Linked DNA regions of Danio rerio. The protein of the gene in region 5 purifies or fractionates together with the protein of the main gene of each other region. This does not show direct contact. Links are inferred from orthologs where the notes say so. Each region holds a gene or a part of one and is shown on either strand. Other genes may lie near its edges.

The links.
Region 1: the proteins of snrnp70 (region 5) and snrpb2 purify together in Homo sapiens (affinity purification with mass spectrometry; 5 studies listed by BioGRID and IntAct, counting the BioPlex papers as one, with this or other methods). This does not show direct contact. The link is inferred for Danio rerio from reciprocal best matches to the Homo sapiens genes SNRNP70 and SNRPB2.
Region 2: the proteins of snrnp70 (region 5) and prpf19 fractionate together in Homo sapiens (co-fractionation; 3 studies listed by BioGRID, with this or other methods). This does not show direct contact. The link is inferred for Danio rerio from reciprocal best matches to the Homo sapiens genes SNRNP70 and PRPF19.
Region 3: the proteins of snrnp70 (region 5) and strap purify together in Homo sapiens (affinity purification with mass spectrometry; 3 studies listed by BioGRID and IntAct, with this or other methods). This does not show direct contact. The link is inferred for Danio rerio from reciprocal best matches to the Homo sapiens genes SNRNP70 and STRAP.
Region 4: the proteins of snrnp70 (region 5) and arglu1b purify together in Homo sapiens (affinity purification with mass spectrometry; 3 studies listed by BioGRID and IntAct, with this or other methods). This does not show direct contact. The link is inferred for Danio rerio from reciprocal best matches to the Homo sapiens genes SNRNP70 and ARGLU1.
Region 6: the proteins of snrnp70 (region 5) and gemin2 purify together in Homo sapiens (affinity purification with mass spectrometry; 5 studies listed by BioGRID and IntAct, counting the BioPlex papers as one, with this or other methods). This does not show direct contact. The link is inferred for Danio rerio from reciprocal best matches to the Homo sapiens genes SNRNP70 and GEMIN2.
Region 7: the proteins of snrnp70 (region 5) and tfip11 fractionate together in Homo sapiens (co-fractionation; 3 studies listed by BioGRID, with this or other methods). This does not show direct contact. The link is inferred for Danio rerio from reciprocal best matches to the Homo sapiens genes SNRNP70 and TFIP11.

Annotation. Positions count from the first base shown.
Region 1 is NC_133176.1:55,030,581-55,034,779, reverse strand, and holds the start of snrpb2 (U2 small nuclear ribonucleoprotein B''), read left to right. Parts: upstream 1-1,333; 5' UTR 1,334-1,436; intron 1,437-1,629; 5' UTR 1,630-1,655; coding exon 1,656-1,719; intron 1,720-2,038; coding exon 2,039-2,211; exon of another isoform or gene 2,212-2,314; intron 2,315-4,199. UniProt on the Homo sapiens protein: Involved in pre-mRNA splicing as component of the spliceosome. Associated with sn-RNP U2, where it contributes to the binding of stem loop IV of U2 snRNA.
Region 2 is NC_133189.1:18,665,274-18,668,913, forward strand, and holds part of prpf19 (pre-mRNA-processing factor 19), read left to right. Parts: intron 1-580; coding exon 581-722; intron 723-800; coding exon 801-874; intron 875-2,490; coding exon 2,491-2,556; intron 2,557-2,642; coding exon 2,643-2,684; intron 2,685-2,768; coding exon 2,769-2,843; intron 2,844-3,640. UniProt on the Homo sapiens protein: Ubiquitin-protein ligase which is a core component of several complexes mainly involved pre-mRNA splicing and DNA repair. Required for pre-mRNA splicing as component of the spliceosome.
Region 3 is NC_133179.1:17,464,575-17,468,434, reverse strand, and holds the end of strap (serine-threonine kinase receptor-associated protein), read left to right. Parts: coding exon 1-105; intron 106-222; coding exon 223-359; intron 360-491; coding exon 492-641; intron 642-2,580; coding exon 2,581-2,642; 3' UTR 2,643-3,271; downstream 3,272-3,860. Other genes in the region: tmpoa (thymopoietin a), read left to right, coding at 3,825-3,860. UniProt on the Homo sapiens protein: The SMN complex catalyzes the assembly of small nuclear ribonucleoproteins (snRNPs), the building blocks of the spliceosome, and thereby plays an important role in the splicing of cellular pre-mRNAs.
Region 4 is NC_133176.1:9,081,193-9,085,480, forward strand, and holds the end of arglu1b (arginine and glutamate-rich protein 1-B), read right to left. Parts: intron 1,575-4,288; coding exon 1,410-1,574; 3' UTR 626-1,409; downstream 1-625. UniProt on the Homo sapiens protein: Dual function regulator of gene expression; regulator of transcription and modulator of alternative splicing. General coactivator of nuclear receptor-induced gene expression, including genes activated by the glucocorticoid receptor NR3C1.
Region 5 is NC_133178.1:30,714,773-30,718,710, forward strand, and holds the start of snrnp70 (U1 small nuclear ribonucleoprotein 70 kDa), read left to right. Parts: upstream 1-1,138; 5' UTR 1,139-1,337; intron 1,338-1,851; 5' UTR 1,852-1,858; coding exon 1,859-2,005; intron 2,006-2,097; coding exon 2,098-2,160; intron 2,161-3,034; coding exon 3,035-3,089; intron 3,090-3,176; coding exon 3,177-3,241; intron 3,242-3,349; coding exon 3,350-3,412; intron 3,413-3,501; coding exon 3,502-3,583; intron 3,584-3,938. Other genes in the region: E3 ubiquitin-protein ligase RNF113A, read right to left, coding at 163-261, 346-422, 567-672. UniProt on the Homo sapiens protein: Component of the spliceosomal U1 snRNP, which is essential for recognition of the pre-mRNA 5' splice-site and the subsequent assembly of the spliceosome. SNRNP70 binds to the loop I region of U1-snRNA.
Region 6 is NC_133192.1:14,292,501-14,296,780, forward strand, and holds the start of gemin2 (gem-associated protein 2), read left to right. Parts: upstream 1-1,345; 5' UTR 1,346-1,455; coding exon 1,456-1,574; exon of another isoform or gene 1,575-1,595; intron 1,596-2,620; coding exon 2,621-2,702; intron 2,703-2,782; coding exon 2,783-2,872; intron 2,873-4,048; coding exon 4,049-4,108; intron 4,109-4,186; coding exon 4,187-4,280. UniProt on the Homo sapiens protein: The SMN complex catalyzes the assembly of small nuclear ribonucleoproteins (snRNPs), the building blocks of the spliceosome, and thereby plays an important role in the splicing of cellular pre-mRNAs.
Region 7 is NC_133198.1:20,764,141-20,768,559, reverse strand, and holds the start of tfip11 (tuftelin-interacting protein 11), read left to right. Parts: upstream 1-1,484; 5' UTR 1,485-1,537; exon of another isoform or gene 1,538-1,630; intron 1,631-4,363; 5' UTR 4,364-4,419. UniProt on the Homo sapiens protein: Involved in pre-mRNA splicing, specifically in spliceosome disassembly during late-stage splicing events. Intron turnover seems to proceed through reactions in two lariat-intron associated complexes termed Intron Large (IL) and Intron Small (IS).

The DNA.
Region 1 (4,199 bases), on a different chromosome or scaffold from region 5:
ATTAAAAATAAATTACATTTTGGTATACACTTCGCAAACTTCTGTTTATGAAAACATTTTTATTTCTAAAGGCGGATTTCTTAACTTAATATTTTCATTATATTTACTGAACATTTCCAATCAAATGCTTTTCAAATCTTAAAATAGGATATTCATGTTGTAGCATAAAATATGTTAAACAAATAAATAAACGAAAAGAAAGTAACAAAAGGACAAGAGCGGGTATACAGCATGACAATTACCATAGGACTTTAGTTTTTGCAGTATATTTACAGTTATGGTTGCTTTACGACTTGCAAGACCTTTAAGAGTTCCTTTAAGTGTAAATTAGCCTTAAAATGGAGATATTAGGGCGTCACGGTGGCACAGTGGGTAGTATGATCGCCTCACAGTAAGAAGGTCGCTGGTTCGAGCCTCGGCTGGGTCAGTTGGAAAGTCTGTGTGGCATTTACATCTTGCTCCAGTTCCCTCACAAGTCCAAAGACATGCGGTACAGGTGAATTGGATAAGCTAAATTGTCCGAAGTGTATGTGTGTGAATGAGAGTGTATGAATGTTTCCCTGTGATGGGTTGCAGCTGGAAGGGCATCCGCTGTGTAAAACATGCTGGATAAGTTGGCGGTTCATTCCGCTGTGGCAACCTCAGAATAATAAAGGGACTAAGCGAAAAGAAAATGAATGAATGAATGAGAGATTTTAGGCTTCCTCTCTGTCCATTTACACTTGTGTATATGAAACTTACCAAATATTATCAAAAGTTCAACATAAACAGGATATTTTTTATCTATATCTTTTTTGTCAACATCTCTTTTCTGTATCCTCATTCTATCACCACTAAATAGACATTCCACATCAATCCAGAAATATTGAACATAGCCTACATACAATAAAAAAAAAACATTGCATAAACATCCCTTTTACAAAATGCTAAAGGTGGAATAATTTGTTGCTAACTGATGCTATGACGTCTTTGTGTTATTATAGCATCATTACATAATCCCAACTCAAAGCAACTTTTTATAATATACAAAATAATGAGTTTTCACAACTTGACTGGCCATCTCAGCATTAAAAAACATTTTATCCTGCATATGTTTTAATGTTTACTGCAACCCAGTACTGGGAAATGTATTAGCAGTTAATGCTATCTAAATGAACAACAGTTATACACGCTAACAACAAGGTAACTTCAGCTAATGAACAATCAAATGGCCAATCACAAATATTGATAAACTTGATCTTAGGTGCTTTTTGAATTCAAAAATGTTGCTAGGGTAGTATATGAAAAGTTGCTAAACCTAGCAACGAAAAGTCCTAGCAATAGTGTTAGTATCACTCCGCGACAACAGGTGGCGCAACAAGCGAAACCCGATTCACAACAATAAAGGAAACGAAGAAGAAGCGAAGCGCCAGTTTCCGCTTAAATCCAGAAGTGTGGTGAGTCCGTTCATTCACTTTTATTGTGATTTTTAAATCTATCAATAAGTTGTTTCACGTTTATAATTTTATAGAGCTGCACTCAGTGTCATTTCAGGCATCTCAGAAGGCTTAAATGGGAGACACTGCGAGTGTTTTGTGTTTGTAGTTCCTCGTTGTTTATTGTACTGGATCTCTTATGTGTTTACTGCAGGGACATTTTACCTCAGTTTATTAATCATGGACATCCGGCCGAATCACACCATCTACATCAACAATGTTAATGATAAGATCAAGAAAGAAGGTAAAGTCTTTCGTTTGTACTGTAACTTGCGTCTATATGTGGAAAAGCTTTGACATTTTTGTTTGTCTTTGCTCATTGAAGTATGTTTGAGTTAATTAGTAAAGGGCTTTTCACAGTAATAATTGCTCCACATCAGTTTTAAAGTTAAGATTGGGGTAAAGTTGCTTTTATATTATCTCCTTCATCATATAAATCCAGAAAAAAATGGTTTGCAATTTCTAAATGAGGAAATGTATTAAACTATTCAAATCAAACTAATCAAAGTACATTTCTCACGGTCAATTAAATGGTGCTAATGTTGTGTTAATCGTTTCTACAGAGCTGAAGAGGTCACTGTACGCCTTATTCTCGCAGTTCGGCCAGATTATGGACATCGTGGCTCTGAAGACCATGAGGATGAGGGGTCAGGCGTTTGTGATCTTCAAGGAGCTTTCAGCAGCCACCAATGCCCTCAGACAGCTTCAGGGATTCCCCTTCTACAATAAACCCATGGTCAGTGCCACAGCTCCTATTCCTATCAAGGAACTACACCTGAAATGATTATCACTTCAGAAAATGAAGCAGTTTGGGGCTTTTGATTGACTTTAAAGAGATAGTTCACCCAAAAATTTGAAATTGAGTAAATGGGGAGTAAATTTTCATTTTTGGGTGAACTATTCTATTGACTTTTTGTTTTATTTATTAATTTGATTAAAGATATAGTTTTTCTGCCTTTTTGCCTTATTAAGTAGATAGGACAGTACTATAGACAGGAAGTAAAGTGGAAGAGAGACAGGGTAGGGACGAGAAATGTCCTCGAGCTGGGATTCGAACTCAGGATGCCTTGAAGTGCTACTGCACCATATGTCAGAGCGCTAACCACTAGGCTATTCCGCCGATGACTTTGTGTTATTATTCGATTTTTCAAATTAGAAGTTCATCTAGTGTTGATTTAGTCATTTTGGGTTAGTCATTTAGTTAATTCTATATGCCATGTTTTACATATATCTTTTTCTGATAATCATTACAGATGATGTGTGAAGAAACAAAAGCTGTTTTATAAGAAAAGCGATTTGTGAAAAATGTATTATACAAGTATGAACGCAAGTCATACAAAGTCTACATATATTATGTTTTATTGTACTTTTTATTGATCAATTGTGCATGACGTTATTGCTGTGGCGTGAAATTCAGATGGAGTGCATGATTTACAAATTTTGGATATATTTGTGAAACAAACAAAACTTACTTTAAATGTGGTTAATCATTTTACAGCATTAATACATGTATAATTAGTAATTTTAATAATATTTATACACTACATTTTAAAAAACAGATACCTCGAACAACATTACACTTGCGCAAAATCCAAGCAAACAATAACTTATTACGCAATTACAATGTGCTGCAATGATTTTTCCATCTTGTTTGTTATAGTACATCCTATGAACATGGTCCTCACACTACTACTACTGCTTTTTTTTATTTTTTATTAAATTTAAATTTTCAAGCAATAGAGATACAACAACAACAAACAAATGAACAGAACAGGGCGGAGAAAATAAGTTGATGATGATGATGATGATAATAATAATAATAGTTAAATAAAAAGTATTTTAAAAGAGATCTTGCATATTCATGCACCACAAACCTTCACAAGATCTGACCTCATTAAATAAACCGTCTGATGAGTATGAAGGTTATGTTTAAACCCATATGTAACAAAAATGGATCCCACCTCTCATGAAACAAAACATCTTTGCCGTTTAAAACACAAGTTAAGTAGTCCAGTGGTACATATTCAAGTTTTACCCTGTGCCATGAAGACTTTGTAGGAGTTTTACCCGTTATCCAGTTCAGGAGAATACATTTTCTTGCACAAAATATCAGGAACTTGCAAAGTGTTTTTTAATTTCTATTTTAATGAATTTCATATTAATCTCTTCGTATAAACCAAACAGCATATGCTTTGGGTCGCAACCAATATTAATAGATAAAATACCATAAATTTCTTGTTCAATCATGGCACAGAACTGTTGAATTTGCCTGCAAAGCCAGAAACAATGAACAAGGTCTTCTTTCTCTGTTTTACATTTCAGACACATTGGTGACAACTCCTCTTTAACCTCTTAAAGAGCCCATATTATACATGAAATAGGGTCATATCTTGGTTGTAAGGGTCTCCAACAACAGTTTAATATGCATGCAAGGTCAAAAAAACACTTTCGTGGTCTTATAATCTGCATTTATTTTTATCTAATTATCCCAGCGACTCCTGTATGAATCGTCCAGTGATTCATTTGTTCCCAAACCCCTCCTTAGCGCGAAGCTAATCTGCTCTGATTGGACCGATGACAGCCTGTTGCGATTGGTCGACTGCCTTCAGTCAGAGAGTGAAATGCCAAACAGCTAATCAGCAATATAAAAGTAATCACAGTTCATGCACGCTCGATAGTGTAGGCGTGGATTTTAGCTGCCTGTGGGTCAATGTAAATACAGAC
Region 2 (3,640 bases), on a different chromosome or scaffold from region 5:
TCGCAACCAAGTTAAAATGTTGAATCAAATCGAGATATTGATTTTAGGCCTAATTGCCTTTTGGGATGATGTAAAAATGACACATTCAGATGTAACATCAGGATTTGATACAATCATGTACCTTATCTGAAGATATTGTTTATATAAATGTTAAATTGATCGAGTGTATATACATTTTAGTCAAAAGTTTAACATGAATTTGATCTTTTGGCGTGCGCACTACAAATGCAAAGAATCTCCCTTGCACTTTTAGATACTTATATGATATATCTTCGTGCATCAAAATCTACAAGCAGTAAAAATGCCTACCTGTTCCCAAAACAAACCATCTGGCAGAGTCTGTACCATAGACTGGAGAAACAAAATAATCCTGTACCACTTCACTGGGATTTTAGAATGATACGTCCAGTTATTTATGAAATAATTCAACAAAGCCTGCTTATTCTGTGTGCAATATGTGCAATTATACATGCATCATTCAACGTATGAAAAACTTTTCCATTTAATATTTGGTGATTGTTATAAAAGAATGATTATATTTTAGATTAACACAGTTTTTTTCTCTCTCTCTCTCTTTCAGGACGCCGTGATGCTGCACAGTTTTACACTGAGGCAGCAGTTGCAGACAACACGACAAGAGCTTTCTCATGCTCTCTACCAGCATGATGCAGCCTGCAGAGTCATTGCTCGTCTTACAAAAGAGGTCACTGCTGCCAGAGAAGGTAAGAGTGGCATGATTGCTTTCAGGATGAGATGTTGACTGGAATTGTGCCATCACTGACACATTGTTCTGCTTGCAGCTTTGGCTACCCTCAAACCCCAGGCTGGACTGGTCGCTCCACAGGCCGCTCCTGCTTCTCAGCCCGCTGCTGTGGTCAGTAATTTCTTTAGATATTCATAATGTAGCGTGAAAAAAAAAATCTTAATTCACTCATGAACCATAGGTACTTTGAGGTTTTTCAAATAGAAATGGCCACTATTTTTAATGTTATTAGACAGCAATTATAATAATTTTTAAGGTAAAATTTTGTAGCAAGAGTAAACCTTAAAAAACGGTTTTAGATTGTTATTTTTTTGCTTTTTTATTATTTTAGAAATGTGATATTTATAAAGTGTTTAAATGTTTTTGGTAACTGCCTTACCATTTTTATTGAATTTCATTAAATGTAAAAAAGAGGTTGACGATTTTAGATTTTTGAAAGTCGACTTTTATATTATCAAAGTTGAGTCAACTAGTAGCTTTTAGCGTCATCAAAAAAAAACATAAGATGCAAATGTTTTGCAACATGCCACAATTTGCGATTTATTTGCAGGACAGAATATGTTTCCATGCTGTTGGAACGCTCATAACGCGTTGCAAGAACAATGCAACATTACACCAATGACACCATTTTAGTGCAAAACAAATACACTGTCGACTCTTTCGTTATTAATGTAACATTAGCACCCGGACTAAATTTTACTGCGAAATAAATGCAGTTAACACATTGATCACTGCACATTCTAGTAAGAATGTAACAATAACAGATATTTTTGTGCAGAAATAATGCAGCACACAGATTCATGTGACGTTATACATAACGCAGAAAGGACAGGCTATAACATTAAGCCATATTACACTGTCGGAGTCCTAATCAGACTCATATTTTATAAATATTACATTATATTTAATGTATTTTATATTTTATCGCTATGATCATGCGCACTAGAAAGCTGCTCAAAATCCTGCTTAAGTCAGGCGTTTTTTGTGGTCACTGGCTCATTTTAGTTACAGAAGTCTGCTTGCTGTACATCTTCACCAGGTTCACCAATGTTGATGATGTTTACACCTACACAAGCTGTGAAGTTTATCACACCTTTGCGGCTGTGCACTTCACATTTTTTCACAGGTTTGTAGAGGGCAGCAGACAATCACATTACTTTTCAGGGTTGCTTAAACCTAACTGGCACCGATTTAAAGTTCAATACAAGTTCACGTGAATCTTTGACGCTGACATAAAAAATACAGTTAAAAAAATGTATTTTAAATAATCGGAGGGCAGTTTCATTCAGTGACAACATCCGTGCACTCGTGGTTCCACCTTAGTGTGTAAAGCTGCATGTAGTTCTGGTCAAACAACGTGATCTGCACAGTGAGACTAGTCGAAGTTTATCAAAAAGCATCACGGCAGAGCATTAAAGTCAACTAGTTGATTAGTCGACTAGTCAGTGCAACCTCTAATATATATATTAAAAAAAAATTTCTCAAGATTCTGAAAAAAAAATACTTTTAGATTATAATCTCTTTCAAAATGAAAGATGCAGGAAAAAAAAGTTATTTCATATAATGCAGGAATTTATTTCAAAAGTTGAGAATTAATTCTGAGATGAATTGTGAATCCGATATTTATTTATTTTATGGTTTTATGTTCAATTTTAAATGTAAAATAATTCAACCCCCTCATAGCCATAGTACAATGGAGTTAAATATATAATTTTCTGTTTTCATAGGGTGCTGGTGGTGAGGCCATGGAGGTCAGTGAACAGGTTGGAATGACTCCGGAGATCATACAGAAGGTTTGTGAATCCACAAGTATATTCAGCAGTGTTCTCATTGCTCACACATGTACAAAGGGATTCAAAGACTTTTTCTTACATTACAGCTTCAAGACAAGGCCACTGTTCTGACCACCGAGAGAAAGAAGGTAAACGTTTAATTAGCAGTTTGTGGTCACTGTTATTTGATGTGCTTTTCAATGTCTGTAACCTTTTACGTGTTTGTTTTTCAGAGAGGAAAGACCGTGCCAGAAGAGCTGGTCAGAGCAGAAGATCTCAGCAAGTATCGCCAAGTGGGATCCCATGCTGTGAGTATCCAATTTTACACAGTGTGTATGCGTGCATATTTTTGTTTAACATATGTTGTGTAGGCCTGATGTCCACAAAGGTTATATAAGCTGGATGTTTTTTTTCTATATCATAAGAAAACCGCTTCTAAAAAGTGCTACATTTGGTACATTTATTGTTAAAAAAGGTTTAGTTTTTTTCAGAGGTCAATATATTAGGCTCATTAAAAAAATCCATTATGTTTATTTAAGCTGATTTTATACCATTATGGTAGGATTAGTGCTCAAAAAATAAACTATGAAATCCAGCCTGAAATAGGATCAAAATCCAATTTTTTTTTTAAAACTCAAGAAATGATGAGATTGTATGCAGAAGATGACGTTCCGGACACAAAAAAACTCGCACTGAACACTTGCTAAAGGAGAAAAACCCCTAAAATGTCTATATTGCAACAGAAACCAAGCTGTTAAAAATATTCTTGTGCAATGCCCTATTTTTATTGTTATCCGACAACAATTATTGTCTGGAGGGACTTGAAATGTAGTATTTAATTTTAAAATTGTTAAATTTTCATCAAAACTAAATCCTTAAAAAAAAGTTTTAGATTTTTATCTTATGTATTCTCATTATTACTTTGTATTTTTATCTTCTGTATTTATTGCTTTCGATGACTTTTAATTGTTAGAATATTTTTATAATTATAGAAAAGTATTATTTTTTAAAATGTGGTAAACCTGATCTTTTTTTGCCATGATATAGCCATAAAAGCTGATATGGCAATAAATTCAAAATTCTCTCTTTCCATATGTCCTGGTAA
Region 3 (3,860 bases), on a different chromosome or scaffold from region 5:
GACTTTATCATTCGATGCATCTGTCAGCAGCATGGAGTACATTCCTGATGGGGAGACTCTCGTCATCACATACGGGAGAACCATCGCTTTCTATAATGCCCACAGGTTTCTATCTTTCATATCGTGCAAATATTACCTTGAACGTCAAGTTGGAACAAAAAACATGTTCTGTACTGTACAGAAAACTGATAGCGCCAGACTGATATTTTGTGTTATCTTCAGTTTGGACCTGATTAAGACCGTAGACGCCCCTGCTTCCATTCACTCCGCTTCCCTGCATCCTGATAAAGACTTCTTTGTGGCTGGAGGAGATGATTTCAAGCTTTACAAATATGACTACACCACCAAAGAGGAAATGGGTATGAATATAGTTGATAATCATGTTCATATACCTAAAGCACATGGAAAAAAAAGGTTTATTATGGATTGGCTCATGACCAAGCATATGTTTGTTCATGCTTGACAATATGATTGATTTGTCTGCCATTCAGAGTCATATAAGGGTCACTTCGGGCCTGTGCACTGTGTGCGGTTTAGTCCTGATGGAGAGCTGTATGCCAGTGGCTCGGAGGATGGCACTCTGCGTCTGTGGCAGACAGCTGTAGGCAAAACATACGGCCTTTGGAAATGTGTCCTGCCTGGTGAGTTTACATAGATATTGCTTCTAGTATACTAAAGCTGGCAATGCACACTCAAAGTTAGTATTTATGGCTGCACCATAATTGAAATAAAATTTGTGCCAACCATTTTATAATATAAAATCTTCAGAAGGGTTTACTGCTGTTGTCAACTTAAGACAAGATAATAATTAATATGTTATTGTTATAATCATTATCAAGATTCTGATATTTATAGCTAATGTTCATAGTCAAATAATCACAAAATATTAACTCTAAAGCAGAGTAAACATGAAGCGTTTGTGTAGCATTTTAGAGAAAGATCTATATTCAATCTGTATGATTATAGTGAATAGCAAATATGAATGCTTATTTAACAAATTGTAGTGTACATAGTTGTGAATGCTATCCTTTTGATAATCGATATTACCAGATTGTACTTGCTAGATGTCAAATAGGTCGCTCATTCGTAATTGGAGAAGATAAACAAGTATATTTTTTAAACACATTAATGCATAAGTCCATACACTCCAAATTAAAATGAAATTACAACACTTAAATGTGTATTTACTGTTATTTTAATCAAAATATTGTTTTTGAAGACCGTAAATAGTTAAATTGCTCAATTGAAACCATTTATTATGATGTAATACTATTTTCCCATGAACATAACTGTTGCTTCTGAATAGACATTACATCATGTAATAAATCATTATTTCCTTCAAATATTTCAGCAGGATTGGAAAATCTGGGTATCCAAGGGGTATTAAAAAGTCTTAACATTTGAAAACGAAAATGTAGGCCTTAAAAAGAAAAAAATTCACTGAAATATGGCGTTGTGTGTCTTAAATACTTTTTAAACATGTCTTAATTTTCCTTTGTGCATGTGAAGCTTCCCAATCACTACAACCAACAATCTAAAAAAAACATGTTTAACAGAAGTTATGTTGATTAAGTAATTGATGGATTCTCTTCACCAATATGGTTTAATTATCTTCCTTGCATCCTTACAATAACATTTGTTTTAAAGTTCTGCGTATATGTATGCATAAGTTTAGTTGATATTACCTTATTTGACTGTTTAGTTTTTGAAAAGAACGTTTTGTTCTCTTAAGCATTCTGAAACATAATTAACACTTATATATTTAATATTTTGAGAGATTTCTAGGAAGAATAATCATTGAAATATTGAGAACAAAACACTAAAATAAGTTTTAGGAATGTTTCGACAATGCTCTGATTAAAATGAAGCTTTATTTCTGAATTTTCTCTCAGCATTCAAAATGTCCTTTTTTAACAGTTTTGGAAACTACAATTTATATATAACCATGTTTTGACACTATTTAAAAAAATGTGGCTAAGAAATAACCACATTTCAATTTTATCGGGGCATGTACAAATATAATCCACTGGCCATTACAAAAAAATTATTAGGGTTTTGCCCTGTAAAAGTCTAAAATTTCATTCATAAAGGTCTTAAAAGTCTTAAATTTGTCTTTGTGAAATCTGCAGTAAATATGCACATTCATTTCCTAAATGCCTTAAGTATTCAAACACTGTTCGTTTAATACACCTCTCTCGATATCTAACCAAAGGAAAAGCATATACAATATATTTTAATATTTAAATAAAATGTAAGTAGTTAATTTCAGTGCTAAATCCAGTAGTACGCTAGAACTATCAGTAAATTTTGAAACGTTTATTAAATGTCCCTGCATTCACTTCAGAGGTAAGCTGATAAGTAGCATATTTTGCTTCTCATTTGTATGAGGAAATGCTCTCTTCAGCTTTCAATCAGCTCTACAATGCAATGTGTACAATACAATAAATATTCATTTATGCTTAAAATACACTCTAAATTATTTTACCAGTGATTATTGTTTACCCTCTCATGAGAACTCCCTTATAGTTAGGCATAAACCTATTATTGTATCCTATGGTAAAACCTCACATTGTCTTACAGAGGAGCTGTCATCAGAGAACTCTGAAGCGCTTTACTGCCCTCCAGCAGAGATCAAGGCCTGAGTCAGGAAAAAGAGAGAGACAACGAGGCAAAGGAGGAAAGATCACGGGACAGGGAGAGGTCAGGGGACGGGACGGGTCAAGAAACCACACCCCAGCAGAGTGCTGTGCCACCACCCTTCTTCACTAGAGACAGACCGCGCTGCCAAGCATGACTTTTAAACGTGAAGATGAAACCCACACGTACGCATTGTGGAAAATCAGGAGACGGCGGTAGAGCTGAGAGTGCTAGTGCTAATGCTAATCCTCCAGCTGCCTGCTCTTTCTTTGATAGCCATGAAGCATCAGTCAGCTCCTTGGTATAAAAGCGGTCGGTTTCTGCAGCACTGTGATCACTTTGGTTGAGATTTACTTTTGTTTTGTTTTATTTTGGTGTTATAATGTGCTTTCAGTACAATTTGTTTGTTATCGCAAGAGCTCAGTGTTCAGTTTGAAAACATCTCTCAGCAGAAGTGCTTTTGAGGAACTTGCTATTCAAGTGTTTATCAATAGTAGTGTGAACTTGTGGTAAATGTTTTCCATGAGTGCTCGGGAAATTTGTAAAACTTTAAAGTGACTTAAGTTCTTTAATCGTTTTGTCTTTGGTTGCAACATATGTTGTATCATTTGGCCAATAAAATGTTGTACCTTTATCATCTGGAATATTTCTCTTTATTTGTGTATGTCTAGATCAGTCACATATGAGTTGTATCTTAAGGTGATACAGTTCACCAAAAAATGACAATTCTGTCTCAAAATCAGCTTAGAATTGGACATCTTTTCAAAATGTCTTGTTTTAAACCCAAAGGAAGATATTTTGAAGAATGGTGGAAACCAGTATGCATTGAATTTCCTATTTGCCTCCAAAATTCTTTAAAATACATTATATTGTATTAATTCTTTAGATGAATTGTCACTTTTATATCGTATTGTTTACTTCCTCAATGAAGCAGCTGTTAAGTAGTTTAATTTTTAGTCTTATTCTTAATTATTGTTCTTTCTACTCGTTATGCGAAGTGAATCTCCTATAAACAAGAGGTCGAACTCGTCTATTTATCGCCAGTGATTTTAAATAGTCCACCCGCCAATCAGAAGGCTCCTTTCTGCGGCGCGCATCCAATAGGGGTCTCTCTCCTAAGGTGGTCACTGATCCCATAAAAGAAATCAGCCCCAGGCAGCGATAGTGTCCTGCTGGAACCAACAGACATGTCGGAATTTCTGGAAGACCCGTCCGTGCTTACT
Region 4 (4,288 bases), on a different chromosome or scaffold from region 5:
AGTCGTGTAAACCTCAAAAAGTCTTAATAATCTGTATTACTCATACGAGTGCGAGCCATTCCGTCATCCGTTTGATGCAGAGGGAAAAAAAAGCAAAAATAAAAGCCTGACATGAATATTTCGGGGAAGAAATCAATGAACCATTTGTTAGAACAACTTTTGTTTATTGTGCTTTGCGTGTTTGAACAGGAATCAATGGGGAAAACTAACAGGTAAGGGATAATTGAATGTCGAGGTGTAAAGGTGTGATGCGTTTGCACTTTCATCGTCTGGTCTGCGAAATCAATTGTGTATTGGTCAAAACAAGGGGTGTCAAACAAACTATTAATTAGGTTGAAGATTGAAAGAATTAGGTGATGGTGACATCCAAAAATCAAAATGTTAACACGCTTAGTTATTGTCGGTCACATGTCTTGCAGACTTCAGCTTTTGCTTGTCAGTTTTTGTGCCATTCATCGTCTCTAATTTCTATTTGTTTTAATACTTGAGCTTAATCAAACTAAAATTTGGTTTGTGTCAGGAAAAACACATTTTTCATTAATAATTAATTCCAATTTAATTTGGGTTTATCCAATCATGCAAACATATTTAATATTAAATATGCAAGCAAGTATCAGAAACAGGACACATTCATGGATTTATTGGAGATTCTTGACATATCCTTGATAACTGGGTCAAATATTTAACCACAAACACAAACTCCGGCCAATCAGCAATCTTTCACTCAATCGCCTCTATAAAAGCATTTCATCACTAACATAGAACGCAGCTCATTGACATGCAACAACCAGGTACCCTTTCTTACAGCATCTCTTTACCTCTCGAGTCTACATTACTTGAAAGTATGTATGAGTGTATTAAAGTGAAGGTAAAAATGGTAAAAGGAGGTTACTGTTGTTTTATGATGCTTCTTGCTCGGACTGGTTACCTTTAAATCAGATCTGTGCTAATCAAAATAGAGGGATGGACTTCAAGTTCAAGCTGTTTCCCTGCCAAATTCATTCTACTTCCATTATACTATGAATAAACTATTAAAAAAAATAAAAGTACTTCAAATTTTCGGTAAGGAAAATCAGTTGTGGTCTTAAATTAGTGAAACTGGAATTCATATTGTACACTTGGATGAAAGAACAGGCCAGGCCAGCTCTTTTTCACTCTACTCGTGTCGTGCACCAAACGTGGTTGCAGACGCTACATGGAGGACAAGTGGAGGTTATCTATACAAGAGTCAGCAATACAAAACAGACAGTTAAAACCTGGGAGAAAAAAACTTAAGGGTATTTGACAAAATGATTGTTCCCATTGTTCTGAGAATTTGAAATACCACATGAGACCTACGGAGAACTTATCGCCTCACACGGAGAGTGGTCTGGAGAAAGTCTGGAGAAATCCTGGCCACGTTGTTTTTGTCACTCAGAAGCCTTTAAAGAAAAAGAAAGTTTAGGCCTTGACTTCCCTTTCCCCAAAATCATCTTCTGTTCTTCTTTCTGCTGTTTCTGTCGCTCTTGCTCCAGCTTCATACGCTCCTCGTGTATTTTTCTTTGCTCTTCAACTATTCGTAGCTGGTCCTCTGCCTGTAAGACAGTGAAAAAAAGAGGAGTTTGTTAGTGTGGTAATCTAGAGGTACCGAAACCCAGTGTTGATACCTTTGCAAATAGAATGTACCCAATTATAATGCAGATTTCTGTGCGAATGAAATCAGAGGTCTGGGAAGTAGAAGATTGGAAACAAATCTTAATTAAAAAAAATAAATAGGCTACAAGCAGGGCACGACAGAATATGTGGACTTCTTTTTTGGGGGGGGAGGGATTATAGATTTAATCTGGATTTATGTGGAATGATTTTGAGAACATAGGAGCTGAAAACTTTAAAAGAAACAAAATACATCTTAGCTTTTATTTAAGGTATTACAATGTAAAGACAACCCTAAAGTAGGTCTCTCATACTGTATAATACTTCCACTAAAATAAAGAAAAACCCTACCTTAGCAAGGTATTATAATTATTTTAGTCAAAGAACATCTTTAGAAATGACAATTTCTTTATTTATTCCTTTTCTTTAGGAAGAAAATACATTTCATTTAACTCATGCTAAATATTGCAAACAAAAACTACAACCTACAACATTTCAACAAAACTGTATATATTTATATGATTTTTTTGCTATTTTTTAAAATTGTATTTAATATTTTTCATATAAATTAGAACATATAAATTTGGTCTACTAATTTTTGAACTATTAATATAAGTTATTTTGTTGGATTAGCTCCAGATTCGGCTTTAGTTCTGATTAATGTATATGCACAATTATAATATTGTAAAGCATCCAATAGAAAATATTAATTTAAATGAGAGATTGGTGGGGTGTGTACCTATATATGCTGAGCACTATATATATATATATATATATATATATATATATATACACACACACACTCAACAATCTGTTAAAATTAGCACATTTTTGCTGTTTTGGGCTTAAAACTATTCAGTCCTAATACATATTACAAATATTGCACTGTGTTCTCTATTTATTTCCTTTTTGACCAGTAATGTAAAAGCAAACAAAAATATATCTAAGGTCTCCAACAAATAATTTTACATCCATCCACAGTCTCTGAAATGGTTCTTTCAAGGATATGGTCTATCTAAACCCCACTTTTGTAAAATACTACACTGCTCTGATTGGTCTGAAAAGGTTAGGTTTGTTGTGACTGGTCCACCAATTACAGCATGTCGCCAATTACCATTTCTCAATTTCAGCAATGGCATCGGGTCGGTTTTACCAATATCACCTAAAGCCCAAGCCTTTATTCTATGCAAGAGCATTTAAGATGAAATTGCTTTAATAGCACAAAAGTGTGTTCTCATGTGAATGTCAATACCCCTAACAAGCAGACAGTTATGTACAGTAACTGTTTATAAAGCTTACAAGCATTGCAATGTTTTGGAATGCTAACAATTTTGCAGCAGAACAAATTAATACAAAAACCAAGACAATTTACGCAAGAATTCTCACAGGACATTGTCATAATATATTAAGAAATGCGTTTATAATCACTACTCCCACGCTTTGATTAAAAGCTTCAAGCTGTTCTCTGTGATGTTTAATATAACGTACATGAGCGTTTTACTTACAGTTCGTTTCATTTTGAATCTTGCATCATCTGTGATGTGTAGGACATTCATGACAAACCGAATTTTGTGAAAGCTGTCTAGAAGCGACCGCATCTGTCGGCTCACTTTCACATGTTGACAGGACAATCTTGACCTTTATAGCTCTGAATTGAGAAGATCTCCTATATAACGTCTGATTTGTAAGATTCATCAGGACCAGAAGTAAACACTGTTCTTCTTTTGGTTTAAAGTGCAATTGAGAAGGAAAAACTCCACAAAATAAAACATACTGGAAGTAGTCCATACAGTGCAGAGGCCATTCATTCTATATGAGAAGACTGTAAGATGCCAATGGAGTGCTAATTAAAAAGGCTTCAAGGTGCTTAAAACTTTTACAGTACTACTCACTTCATACAGGAATTCTTAAATCACATCCATGACACTAATTTGTGCTCAGTGCAGAGTAGATTATATGTAATCTGGATTACGTAGCCAGATTAACAAAAATAAATCTATACTTGTAATTAGATTATATTACATTTTAAAATAGATTTAATCAGATTAACTTTTTTGTGGAATAAATGATTACAAATTATATAATCGTGTAATATTGCAGATTTTTTGTTAAAATATCCACAATATTGAATGGTCCTTTAAAAGGATATGGAAAATTAACTCAATTCATTTCATGTCATGGTTTTATCTTATTTAACTTAAAAAAATTACATATACATACACAGAAACACATATATAATATATACAAACACTACACACTGTAAATGTCTATATATATATATATATATATATATATATATATATATATATATATATATATATATATATGTATATATATATACACGTATATATATACACGTATATACATGTATATATATATATATGTATATATATATATGTATATATATATATATATGTATATATATATATATATATATATATATATATATATATATATATATATATATATATGTATATATATATATATATATATATATATATATATATATATATATATATATATATATATATATATATATATAAATAAATATATAATATACTTTAAATGTAATAGAAGTATTATTATTTGCTAGTGGTTTTGATTATATTTGCTGCCATTTATCATTTTACAACTAAATTATTATCAAAAAATAAAA
Region 5 (3,938 bases):
CCTTTAATGTTTCAATGAGACAGCGCAAAAACTGTCAGACGTTAATAGAAATGTAAAGTCATACGTGGTCATGAATTATTAGGCACCATCAAGCGTTTATATTCATAATTTGCTGTAGCATAAATCATGAAGCTGTACAAATGTTGGGTCAGTCAGACTCACCGCTGAGCGAGTGGACTTGTAAGCGACAGTCACGCTCTTTTCTTCCTTCTCTTCTTCACTTTCACTCGATGAGACAGCTTCCCTCTCCACTTTCTTCGTCTATAAAACGAATAATAAATATAATAATGATGACATCAGTTTAACAGCGGCTAGTTACATAAAACACATGAAATACGGACATACTTTCTGAATCATGGGGTTCACAGCGGCAGATTTCTTCTTTCTGACCACTGCACTGCCCTCATCGCCGCTGCTTTTTTCTGATGATAAAGAAACAAAACACTGAACTGCAGACATGTATTGAGCATAAACATTAATTAAACAGACGGCTTGTTGTAGGGATTATAGTTTCTCAAGTCAAACTCGCTGTCGATTGAGACACTGAAGAAAGAAGCACAACGTACCTTTGTCGCTGTCACTTGCATTTCTTTTCCGTGCGGAAAATTTCTTGTTTGATTTCTTAAAAATAAATGTGCAGGTGGGTTTTTTCGGCTCCTCGGACTCCGCCATCTTTAACTACGTATAAAAACAAACGATGAAGTCATTTTTTGGTTACAGCGCCTCTTGTGTTTGGGAAGAAACGTAGAATGGGAATGGTTTACTGCTGTTGTATTTGATATGAATATATTCCCATTTAACAATTGATAATGTACATATCTTTACTATTATTATTAATCAGTAACTAGCAATATTCAGACAATATTTGGATGCATGCATTGAGCAAAATTAAGGATAAAGACGTTTTAAGGTATTTTATGGTGTACTTAAAGTAAAATTATGATTTAGAGTGAATTTTTTCCCATTATAAAGGTAAAGTCTAGTTAGGATACTGTGGATACGTACATCAACATAGCATAAGTTTTGTGACACTGTATAACAATAAATAATATTTTACAGTACAAATTCCACACTGGCCACGCCCCTATCGTGAATGTACCACTAGACGTAAATGTGTCGTGAAACACCGCAGCGGTTTACGGCCTCGCGCCATTTTAAGAAAGGAACGACTCGTTCAACTGGGTGAGAACACACGTTGGGTATTGTGTGGACCGAAATACACACAAAAATACCGAGTGAATTAAAGAAATTCATGCACGAAGGTCTTCCACAGAAACACGCAAGAGGATTTTGGCCCGAAAATCGGAGATTTCGTTGGAGCCGAATGAAAAACTGAGGTAATTGACTGCAGGAGGCCGTCCGTGGAAATGTAGGCGATCTCGGATATGATCATCATGAGAGAGTTGGTGAATTAGCAGAGCTGACCGTAACCACGACTGAGCTTTGCTTTATTTTTGTGTATTAAAGAGTGCACTGATATTAGTTATTAGATGCGTCTCTTTTTGTTGATGCTACACTAACGTGATCTGATGCTGAAGTTGTAGTTTGTTTAATCATTATGTGGAGAATAAAAGTGTTTGTTTGCACGAAGCTAACCGAGAAAGCTAAGACTGCTAGCAGCTAACTTCACGAGACTCGTTTAAGGGGTGTTTGTTTACTGATCCAGATCTATGTGAAGACGCTGAATTTTCAGTTTGAATCTGTTAGCATGATTTTGTCTGCTTATTTAAATCCACCTTATCTTAAATAACGTCTTATTTACCATTTTCACACAGTAACTGCTTAACTTGCATGAGGTGCTCCTAATTGTTGATTATTTTTTTTATCGTTTGTGTTTTTTCTCTCTTCCAGGTGAACAATGACTCAGTTTCTTCCGCCGAACCTGTTGGCATTGTTTGCCCCGCGGGACCCCATACCGTTCCTGCCTCAACTGGGAAAGCTTCCTCACGAGAAACACCACAACCAGCCCTACTGCGGAATTGCTCCTTTTATCCGGCATTTTGAGGTGCTTTTTGACTTGTTATTTTATGTAGAACGGTTTATTTATCGATTTCTTTGTTACATTGATGTATAACTGTTTTTTCTGCTGTTTATTAGGACCCCAGAGATGCCCCTCCACCCACAAGAGCAGAGACACGGGAGGAGAGACTGGAGAGGAAGGTGAGCGAGACTTGTCTGAATAGACTCTCTGTGGGGAGTTTACTAATGTTTTCTCCTGCTGAATTGCTTTTAGATTGACAGAGCTGCACTCAGTAGTTTTAGTGGGCATATAAGTACAGACAAGACGTGTTTGAAAAGCTTGTTGATACATGTCACATTGAGTTTAACCATAGGTCATCCTTGTCCCAAACTTTGCTTGAGACCACTGCTAACAAAATGTTTTTTTTAATTGAAGCAAAAAAAGTTAGAATATTTACTCTGCCTCCACTTGTTTTAAACCGGTTATATTTTGTGTCATCTGTCCAACACAAAAGTATTAATGTTTTGGAGAATATTAGAAACCACATGCCATTGATTCCTTGGTGTATGTATATATATTTTTTTTCACTGCAATGGATGTTAATCGTGACCATTTTTTGGTATGTTTCTTTTGAGTTCAACAAAAAAAGGAATGCGTTTCCACTGGAGGATGAAATAATTTACATTTAATGTGCACACGATTAACTTTCACTCTATTGTTGAAACTTGGCAATTCATTCACAAATCCCTTGTGTTCTGGACCGTTGAGTCTTGACAGCTATGAACACTTGATAATGCTGAAATATGTTGCATAGCCCTAAGTTTTTAGAAATCATTTGTCAACGCACCATAATCAAATTCTGAAAAATCGATGAAGGAACTTGATAGCAGTCAGCAATAGTAAGATATGCATTGCAGAAGCTTTTGTGTAAATGTCACATGCTCTATTAATCCAGTAATATGATGCAATAAATGACCAATAATAAGAATGTTATCCAATTATTTACATTTGTACAGTATTTAATGTAAAATTATGGTAACTAACTACTTGGTTATTTGTTCATTTCAAATCCAGAGAAGAGAAAAAATGGAGAGGAGGCAAGTTGTGGTTGAAGGAGAGCTGAAATTATGTAAGTGTCTTTAAAATAAAGGCTTTACAGTTGTAAATAAAGTCATTAAAATGTTCTATATTAACCTTATGACCTGTATCTCCACAGGGGACCCACATAATGACGCTAATGCCCAAGGAGATGCGTTTAAGACCCTGTTTGTGGCTCGAATTGTGAGTATTTTTTGGTCTCAAGCATAAGCTTGTCGGCTGACAAAAATCTAAATGTGTAGAGGTTGTTTCTTGAAGACAAATCTTACATGTTTTATTCTATTTATGCAGAATTATGATACCACAGAATCCAAACTGCGGCGAGAGTTTGAGGTCTATGGTCCTATCAAACGGGTAAATTGTGCTGAACGTGTATTATGCATATTAATCTTGGGTCAGTTTGTTTCCACTGTCTTATTCTTGTATGTATCTGCTATTATTAGATCTACATTGTGTACAACAAGAAAACTGGAAAACCAAGAGGCTATGCGTTCATTGAATACGAGCACGAGAGAGACATGCACTGTAAGTAACCAACATATCTTATTCTGCCTTCAGCCCCTTAAATGACCCCAAAGCAAGGTTGCACCAATGGTTTTTGTATTTCCAATAAGAGGCATTTAAGTCTTATCAAAACCCCTTATTAAACACCAAAGGAAGAGTCAGATGCAAAAAGCTCTTAATTGCATCTGATATATTTATAAATTGAGCATTTTTTGAAGCACAGTGGTTGAGGAATTTCACTATTGTCAAACAATAGATTCTTTTCGTTCCCTTAAATAAAATATCTGAAATGCTCATTTTAGAATACACTTTCAGAAGGCATACCTTTTGCATCTGAAGTCTTCGTATTTTGGTTGTACTCTATTTTATCTCTGCA
Region 6 (4,280 bases), on a different chromosome or scaffold from region 5:
GCGACAGCACTACCTACTGCTCCACTGCGTTGCCTGTTTCAAACTTATAAGAAAAATAAATTAATTGAAGGAGAGGGTTATAGACTTTAATTTTGCCTTGTGTATGTGAAACGTCCCAAGAAAAATAATCAACTTCAAAGCATTACCGAGTGTATCATGGCCAGTTTTCAGTTTAAAAAAGAATCATGCATTCATCCAAGTTAATTATATATAATTTTATTATAAACTGAGTAAAAAATTAACCCTGAAACCAGTTTCCAAAAGTCGTCAATAAATGTACAAGCACAAAATAGATGTAGGAGACTTTCAGGTTTAAAACATTCTGATGAAATGTCTTTTTAAAATGTATTAATGAACAGATGGCAGGGATACCTGTGTAATATTTTCTTTATCTTTTTTAAATACATTTACTGTATTACAGAAAGATACATTTGGTGCACATCATTTACAATAATAATCATTAGATTATTTACAATGGTGCCAATAAAGAATGAAAAAGAAGAAAAAAGAAAGAGGAACAACCAACAGAAATCAAACAAAAAACAAAGAAATATCAATAGGCCATCTGATCTGAGGGTAGATATATAGATTTAAAAAAAATTGAAAGTGAAGAGGGCAAAATAAGAAGCAGCAATTTAGAGATTTAATTGATTATAAAGGTCGTGCAAATGGTATGCTTTGAGTACTTTCTTGTTAAGTGAATCTGGAACTGTAAGTAATTTTTAATCTCTTGTAAATGCTAGAAATGTTAGCTTGCAACTTGACATTGACAATATACATTTATGAACATAAAATCTGCATAAAGAAAAAGGTTTATTTTAAAGTAGACATTAAACTTTGTTATAAAAAACACCAAAAATGACTTTTGTAGTCACAGAAAAATGCTGTAAAGTAATATTTGGACAATTGCATGACCAAAATAAGCGAGGAGTTTCAGCGTTAATCTGACAAAAGGAGATATTTGTATCAAAGTATGATCCAAATCTTTTCTTTAAGACATTTTTGATAGGATAAATGTTATGTAATAATTTAAAAGATATTTCCTTTACCTTTTTAGTAAGGAAAAACTTGATGTATGGACCATATATTTCCCCAGTTTAAATAATCAAAAAGACCGTTTCAATGTGAGATAGCAGAAGGGGTAGAGTTTTCAAAAAACACAGCTCTTATTTGATAATTTTTCCTTTTTATTTAACCTTATTGGGGAGTAAATAAAAAATATTCTACTTGTACAATATTTCTCCACCATTTTATGTTGTTACCCTTCACATTTCTCCTAAACAACAGATGTCGCTACACATCTTTCCATCTGTAAGCGAGTGAATAAAAGAACCGTCGCGTCTATTGATCGTCATCCTCGTGTCCAATGTTTTCAAAATGGAGAGGTTGACATGCACGTAATAGTGAGCATGTTGATTTATTTTGATGGTCGTGCATAAAAAATAAGGCAAAGAGATGAAGTCAGACGCCGAGGAGTTGATGCCCAGACTCCTGCCAGTGGATTCCTGCGACACAGAGGAATATACTCTTACCGAGCCGCCTAGAAACCCTCAGGAATATCTCAGATTTGTCCAGTAAGTCTTTCGGCTATTGAGGTAAAGTTGGTTTAATATTCGCACATTCAGACATTCTCATCAATAATACAGTTTTAGAAAAGTATTATTTGCAAATTGTAAAGAAGGAGATCATATTAGCTGCCAATGACTACTAAAGTACAACATTATTCAGTCAATTAAACAGTACTTATGTTGTTAAACCCTACTGGAAAAAAAAAACAGCTTAAACCAGCCTAGGCTGGTTGGCTGGTTTTAGCTGGTTGACCAGGCTTGTTTGAGAGGGGTTATGGCCATTTGCAGGCTGGTTTCCAGTCATTTCCAGCCTGGTCTTAGCTGGGCAGGCTGGGAGATGACCAGCTAAAAACACACACACACACACACACACACACACACACACACACACACACACACACACACACACACACACTCACAGAGAGAGCGCTGTGGGGGAAATCAGAGCACCTAGAGGAAACCCACACCAACACGGGGAGAACATTAAAGCTCCACGCAGAAATGCCTTATGGCCCAGCCAGGACTCGAACCAGTGACCTTCTTGCTGTAAGGTGACAGTGGTTACCACTAAGCCACCGTGCCGCCCGTCAAGATTGTGGCTCTATGCTGGTTTCATACCTAGAACCTCATAGTTTGTTACCCAATGCTTAGCACGTTGAACTAATTGATCAAATTGGTAAAACTAGTGATCCGAAGGACAGTGGCACTAACAAAATATGATTTGGGGCTACACTTTAATGCTTTTGGCTAATAAATTACTATTACACAGAATAACTATTGTAAATATTGTTTGTAAAAAATGTTATTTTACACATTCTAATGCAACAGGAAAAACAAAACTACTTTAAAGCTGTATTAGCTTTTTCTTGTTGATGAAACTATGCTTGACTTTGACTCTTGTTCGATGAACATTATAGTAGTCAGCATTTTACAAGTGGATTGAAAACGCTTTTCGAAATTGTTCTAAGACAAGAGTGGGTGTTGTTCAATGGTTTTCGGGCAACTTTAATAAAAAGACCCTGTTTAAATATCGACTACTGTATATTTTACAGGAGGGAAGCATCTCTGTGTCCAGATGTTGTTGTGGCACAAATTGATCCAAAGAAGCTGAAGAAACAGTCAGTGAATGTGTCTGTAAGTGGGAAAAGTGAACTGAATAATCTGTTATAAATTCTGTAATGTGTAAAATAACTGTGCCATTATTTTTGCCTCAGATCACAGGTTGTCTTGCTGCACCTGAGGGTTTTTCACCCAGCTTTAAATGGCAGCAGCAACAAGTCAGCAGATTTTCAGAAGTCAGACAGGTGTTCAATATTAACCACATTAGTTTCTTTAAAGGGATAGTTCACACACAAAAAATGAATATTTACTCATTATTTATGAATGTTACTATTATTCAAGTGGTTCCAAATTTTTTCAAGTTTATTTTTTCTGTTGAGCAAATCCATTCATTCATTTTCTGCCGCTTTTCCGGGCCGGGTCGCTGGAGCAGCAGTCTTAGGAGACAACCCCAGATTTCCCTCTCCCGAGACAGTTCCTCCAGCTCCTCCGGGGGGGATCCCGAGGCGTTCCAAGGCCAGCCAAGAGACATAGTCCCTCTAGCGTGTCATGGGTCTTCCATGAGGCATCCTCCTGGTGGGACATGCCTGGAACACCTCCCTAGGTAGGCGTCCAGGAGTCATCCCAAACAGATGCCTGAACCACCTCAGCTGAGTTCTCTCGATGTGGAGGAGCAGCGGCTCTACTCAGAGCTCCTCCCGGGTGACAGAGCTCCTAACCCTATCCATAAGAGTGCGCCCTGCCACCCTTCGAAGGAAACTCATTTCGGCCACTTGTAACCGTGATCTTGTCCTTTCTGTCATGACCCAAAGCTCATGACCATAGGTGAGAGTAGGAACGTAGATTGACCGGTAAATCGAAAGCTTTGCCTTTCGGCTCAGCTCCTGTTGAGCACAAAAGAAGATATTATAAAGAATGTTAGAAACCTGACTTCCATAGTAAAAAAAAACAAATATTATGGAAGTCAATGGTTACTGCTTTCCAACATTTTTCAGAATAGATTCTTTTGTGTTTAGCAGATGAAAAAAAAAACAGGTTTTACAGGTTTTCAGCTTTGTTCAAAATAAAGGATGAGTAAATGATGACAACTTTCATTTAATATTTCATTCTGTCATCATTTACTCACCCTTTATTTTGAAGAAAGCTGAAAACCTGTAACTATTGACTTAGTAGTAGTATTTAGAATTTGTTGTTACTACAGTATTTCTTTTTCCTAATATGGAAGTCAGTGGTTACAGGTTTTCAACACTCTTCAAAATGCCTCTCAACAGAGGAAAGAAATTCATAAAGGTTGATAACCACTTGAGGGGGAGTAAATACAGAGTAAATGTTCTTTTTGGTTGAACTATCCCTTTAAGTACTTTTAGACTTTTTAGAATTTGTTTTTGTAATTTGTTTCATCCATATATTTCTTGTTTCAGAGTGTGAACAAGCATCGTCAGCATTGGAAAGCTCAGTTTTTGGATGATAATGTTGTCATGGTAGGACTTTATTTATTATTGGGCTTAAATTAAATCTGAAAAAAGCTGCTTACACTGGAGACTTCTTTTTCCTTTCAGCCCAAAACTGAGGATGAGGATGGATGGAAAAGGTTTTGTTTTGGTGAGAATGTTTGTCTTGAGATTCAACTGAAAGAAGAAGACGGTGTAAATC
Region 7 (4,419 bases), on a different chromosome or scaffold from region 5:
AAATGCAATCCTATTATATTTTGAACCCGTGATACTAAAGCCTTCATTTGTAGAACTTGGCGGCACTGCTCTCAAAAGTTAGTACAGAGCCCTGCCTTTAAACGGACTAGTAATTTGTGTTTTTTTATTCAGGGAGTAGCTCAAGCACATTAACCTAAAACCTCTAGGAGGAGAAAAACTGACTCAACTGTATCCCCACCCTACACCACTCTGACTAGAGAAACTTGTTATGCGAAATCTCTACAACAGCTGCGAGAAGACCCTAAAAGAAACCTGAAGAAAGGCTAAAACAGGTGCAAAAACACCCTGAATAGAATAAGCAACATTTTGATAATAACCAGTACAATAAACAATATTTCCAGGACCACCTAGACAACCAGTGTTTAGTATCAGACATGCACTTTTAAAAGCAGTACTAACCCGTCTCAGCCTGGGGCTGCTGCATCTCCTGCTCTGTAACAGGGACAGTTTCTGTGGCTTCGCCTGGCATTCTGGACTAAAACAGAAATGAGAAACAATACATTATAAGCTTTACAAAGTCTGCATGAAGGTTTAGACATGCGTTAGTCAGTGCTTTGTGTTAATGAGGCTTTTTCTATTGAAACAGCAGCACTCTAGGCCTCTTCCTGTAGGCCTCTGCTGGCTGTCAGCTGTCCCACTACCGGCTCAGTTAAACACTGCTGTTGTCTCAAAGTATTGAGCTACATGATAACATTTCACAAGGCCACCGAACAGAATTTGTGAGCTTTATCAATTGCAAACAGGCAAACTGAACAAATAAGGCTTATAACGTCCCCAAACAGTTCCACACACTGTTCATGTGTGCGCGTGCACTGTGTTGCACATTTCACGTGTGTATCTTAACAGAGGAGCTCTGACACGTTACTGCTGAATGAAAGAACCTCATTACACAAATTACAATAAAACTTTTTTAAAGAAATGAGTTTATAATCCTTTATAATGTAACGTTAGGTTATACTGTTGACACAGCATGCGTTTTTAGAAACGTTACATGTTTAGGCAGCGAAGTTAACTATCCAGCCAGTGTTTATTGTCGCACGTCACGCAACAACCTTTCGTACGATTAAATTACAGATTTCTCACAATATATCGCTATAGTTGTATATAGTGCAACTTTTTGCAGGGTTAACATTTTCGTTAGACACAAAGCCCACGGCTGAAGTATAGCGAGCGGTGGTGCGTCTCGCTCCCCCATTTTGAACAGTCAGCCAGTTGTAATCATCAACATATTTCCTCAATAAGCCAAGCAAATTTACAAATCTTTACCATTCCAAACACAGCTACACTAAAGCATCAGCATAAGCTACAAATTATGTATTGAATTGGCTAAAGCAACGTTGGATGACAATAGATTTTACGCAGGAGTACTCACTAGTTCAGGGCACAGGATCCAAGATGGCTGTGAGAGAGGGTTTCTGACCTCTGCGTCACTCTGATGTCACTGCTCTGCTTCCGGTCCCAACAGGAAGTCACTGTCGGATAAGCTGAAGTCTATAACAAGAAACCACATTTTCAGGTAATTCTGTCTACACACTGTTATTTTTAAACACAATAGTTTATTTCAGAGTTGACCATGACGGAATATTGACAATACCTGATTTAAGGGAAGGTATGTGTCTTTGTTTACAACAGAGTGGCATTGCTAAGCTAACATGATTTTTCTGGGAAACGTTTGCTTCACGCACTCTAAGTTACTAATCAGTTTTTGTCATCCGAGAACAGGGTCCGTGTATCATCCGTTCATTTGATTATTCCTTTTATTACGGAAAACGAAACATCAGAAAAACGATGAATATTTCGTTTTTCTGTTTATTCTGTAGGCAGAAAAAACGGAAACTCATCTGTTATTCTGCTTATTAACTTAAAACGAAATATTAAAACAAACACAAAACCAAAACGAAATAATGAGTCAAAAAATGGTCCGTGTACATTTTGTTCATTTTTTTTCCAGTTTCAAACGGAATAAAGGAAATGGAGAAAACTGCCGTTTTTCCGTTTTTCTTTTGCTCACGAGAAAACGAAAAAACAAGATTTTGGCTGGATTTTCGTTTTTTGGTTTAGGGTAGGAAAACGGATAAACGACTTTAAAATTCATTTTACACATGTAGGCGGTGCTGAAACGCCCACTTTCCTCTAATTGGTCAACCAAATCTGCGCTCGTGACGTCACCCTCAAAATAAAAGCCTTACACGCAGGCTTTTAATTATTATTATTTAATTATATATATATTAACTAAGTTTACAGATTCTATCATTTGAACCACACACATTTAGCAGGCTTACATTCATTGCGTATGTATAAATTAAATAAAAACGTAAATCAGCAGTATTCTTAGACATTTGTCATTAAAATAAGGTCATAGTTCACTGCCAAGCTTCTTGCTGCTGTGCACCTGATGCAGAGCAAAGATAGCCATTTCCGAGCAGCACCTGGTTTACATGATTGTTTCAGAGCTATTGTAGGCCTAAATAATAGCCTACTCTGTATAAAATAATAATTTATTATTATTATTATTATTATTATTATTATTATTATTATTATTATTAGGCCTATTATTAGCAGTATTGTTATTATTATTATTTACTTAGTTATTTAATGGTTGTAAGAACACAATGGACCCTGCATGGGGCTATAATAAATGGTACCTGTTTCTATTGGATTTTCTCCTATTTTAATTTAATATGTGCCTTTAGCCTATTGTAAATATTTATTTGATAATTAATACTTTTTTATTGCAACGTCAAAGTAGGCCTGTCTTATTATTATTATTTTTTGTTATTATTTTGTCGTTGTTGTTGTTATTATTATTGTAGCAGGGACATAGCCACAGGTGTGGCAGAGTGTGCTGGTGCCACCCAAAGTGGCATCTTGCACCTGAAAATAGATGCCTTCGCACTCAAGCACGCGCAAAAAAACTTGCACAGGCAAAAGTAATGATGAATGTGTTGAAGGAAAAAAAAAACATTCTAATTATTTGTTAATTAAATAGTGCAACATTATTCTCAGTCAGTGTAGGCTGAAAAAATTAAGATCGCCAGCATTTCAAGGGTGGTTTTATTTTTAGTTCATTGCTGTGACGCGCTATATTTCACTAAGGCTACATGAGACTGCGCATCTTGCTTATTTTCTCTATTTTACATACAGAACATATCATACAGTCCAGGTTCTACCGTTCTAGTGAGTGTGGGGCATTGCTTTACGGTGGTAAAGTGGATTATTTCTTGGCAAATTCATAATGATTCACTTTGTTTAGTAATAAATTTCATAGTTATAAAATAACTACATTTCAAGAATATGTTAACACTTTCAACTATTTAGGATTATTTATTGCATCAAAAGTAATTTCAAAGTAACATTAAATGTACGTATAAACTGCTTAATTTGTGTGTGTAAACACCTAAGATGCAAAAAGCTTATTTAGACCAGAATAGGCCTACTAAATGCAACGGTCAATGTATGTAAACTTATGACCTAAAATGTCTTAAATGACTAAATGTAAGTCTTTTTAAGTTTTTAAATAATTTAAGTTTAACATAAATGATTTAAACTTTAAACTTCAAATTAACAGAGTATGGCAAATAAATTGTTTATTAAATGGAGGTCAGGTGTCTATCTTAATTATAATTATTAAATATTATGACACTACAGTGGTGTATTGGAGAGTACGCACCTTTTAATTAATTAATTTTAAATAAGTGGTTTATCCTAAATAAAATGCAATGGGATCGGTGTGCAATGAATAGTTTGAAAACCCCTGGTTCAGACTAGACGAGCTAGCTGTCTGTGCGCTGCGCTAATAACTTGGCATTTGCTCTTTTCGGTGCTGCCAGATGCATTTATAGTGCATAAAAATAAAAAAGGTAATTCGGTAAAGCGCGCGATGCGCGCAGAAATAAGCGCACTATATGCATATGTCGAATTAAGTTCTCTTTTTCTTTAATCAAGACTTTTCCATTCGAGGAATTACAGTTATTAATAGCTTAATCCTTATAAACGATCAGTTTATAAAATACACAATTTACGGATCAAGCCTAATGAAGAATAAGAAGAATATGCAACGCATTATGATCCTTGAATGATCAGAGCGCATTTATATAAACTATATATTTTATATATTCCATAAATATTAAAAAACATTATACATTTAAAGTAATAAAACATTATATGTTATAAAATCTAAACTATTATTTAGGCTACAGGCTGTTCAGCGCGTGCGTCAAAGAAAAGACATGACACAATCTCTATAAAAACTAGTTGTTTATTTACAATATCTAAAGGGATATAAAACATCTAACATGCATCTCCATTCTCAACGAGTTTCTGTGTTCTGCATTCTTCACAGACCGAGATCTCATTCCGAGGTAATCTGTAAATATTCTCATTTGGTTCTGGCACATT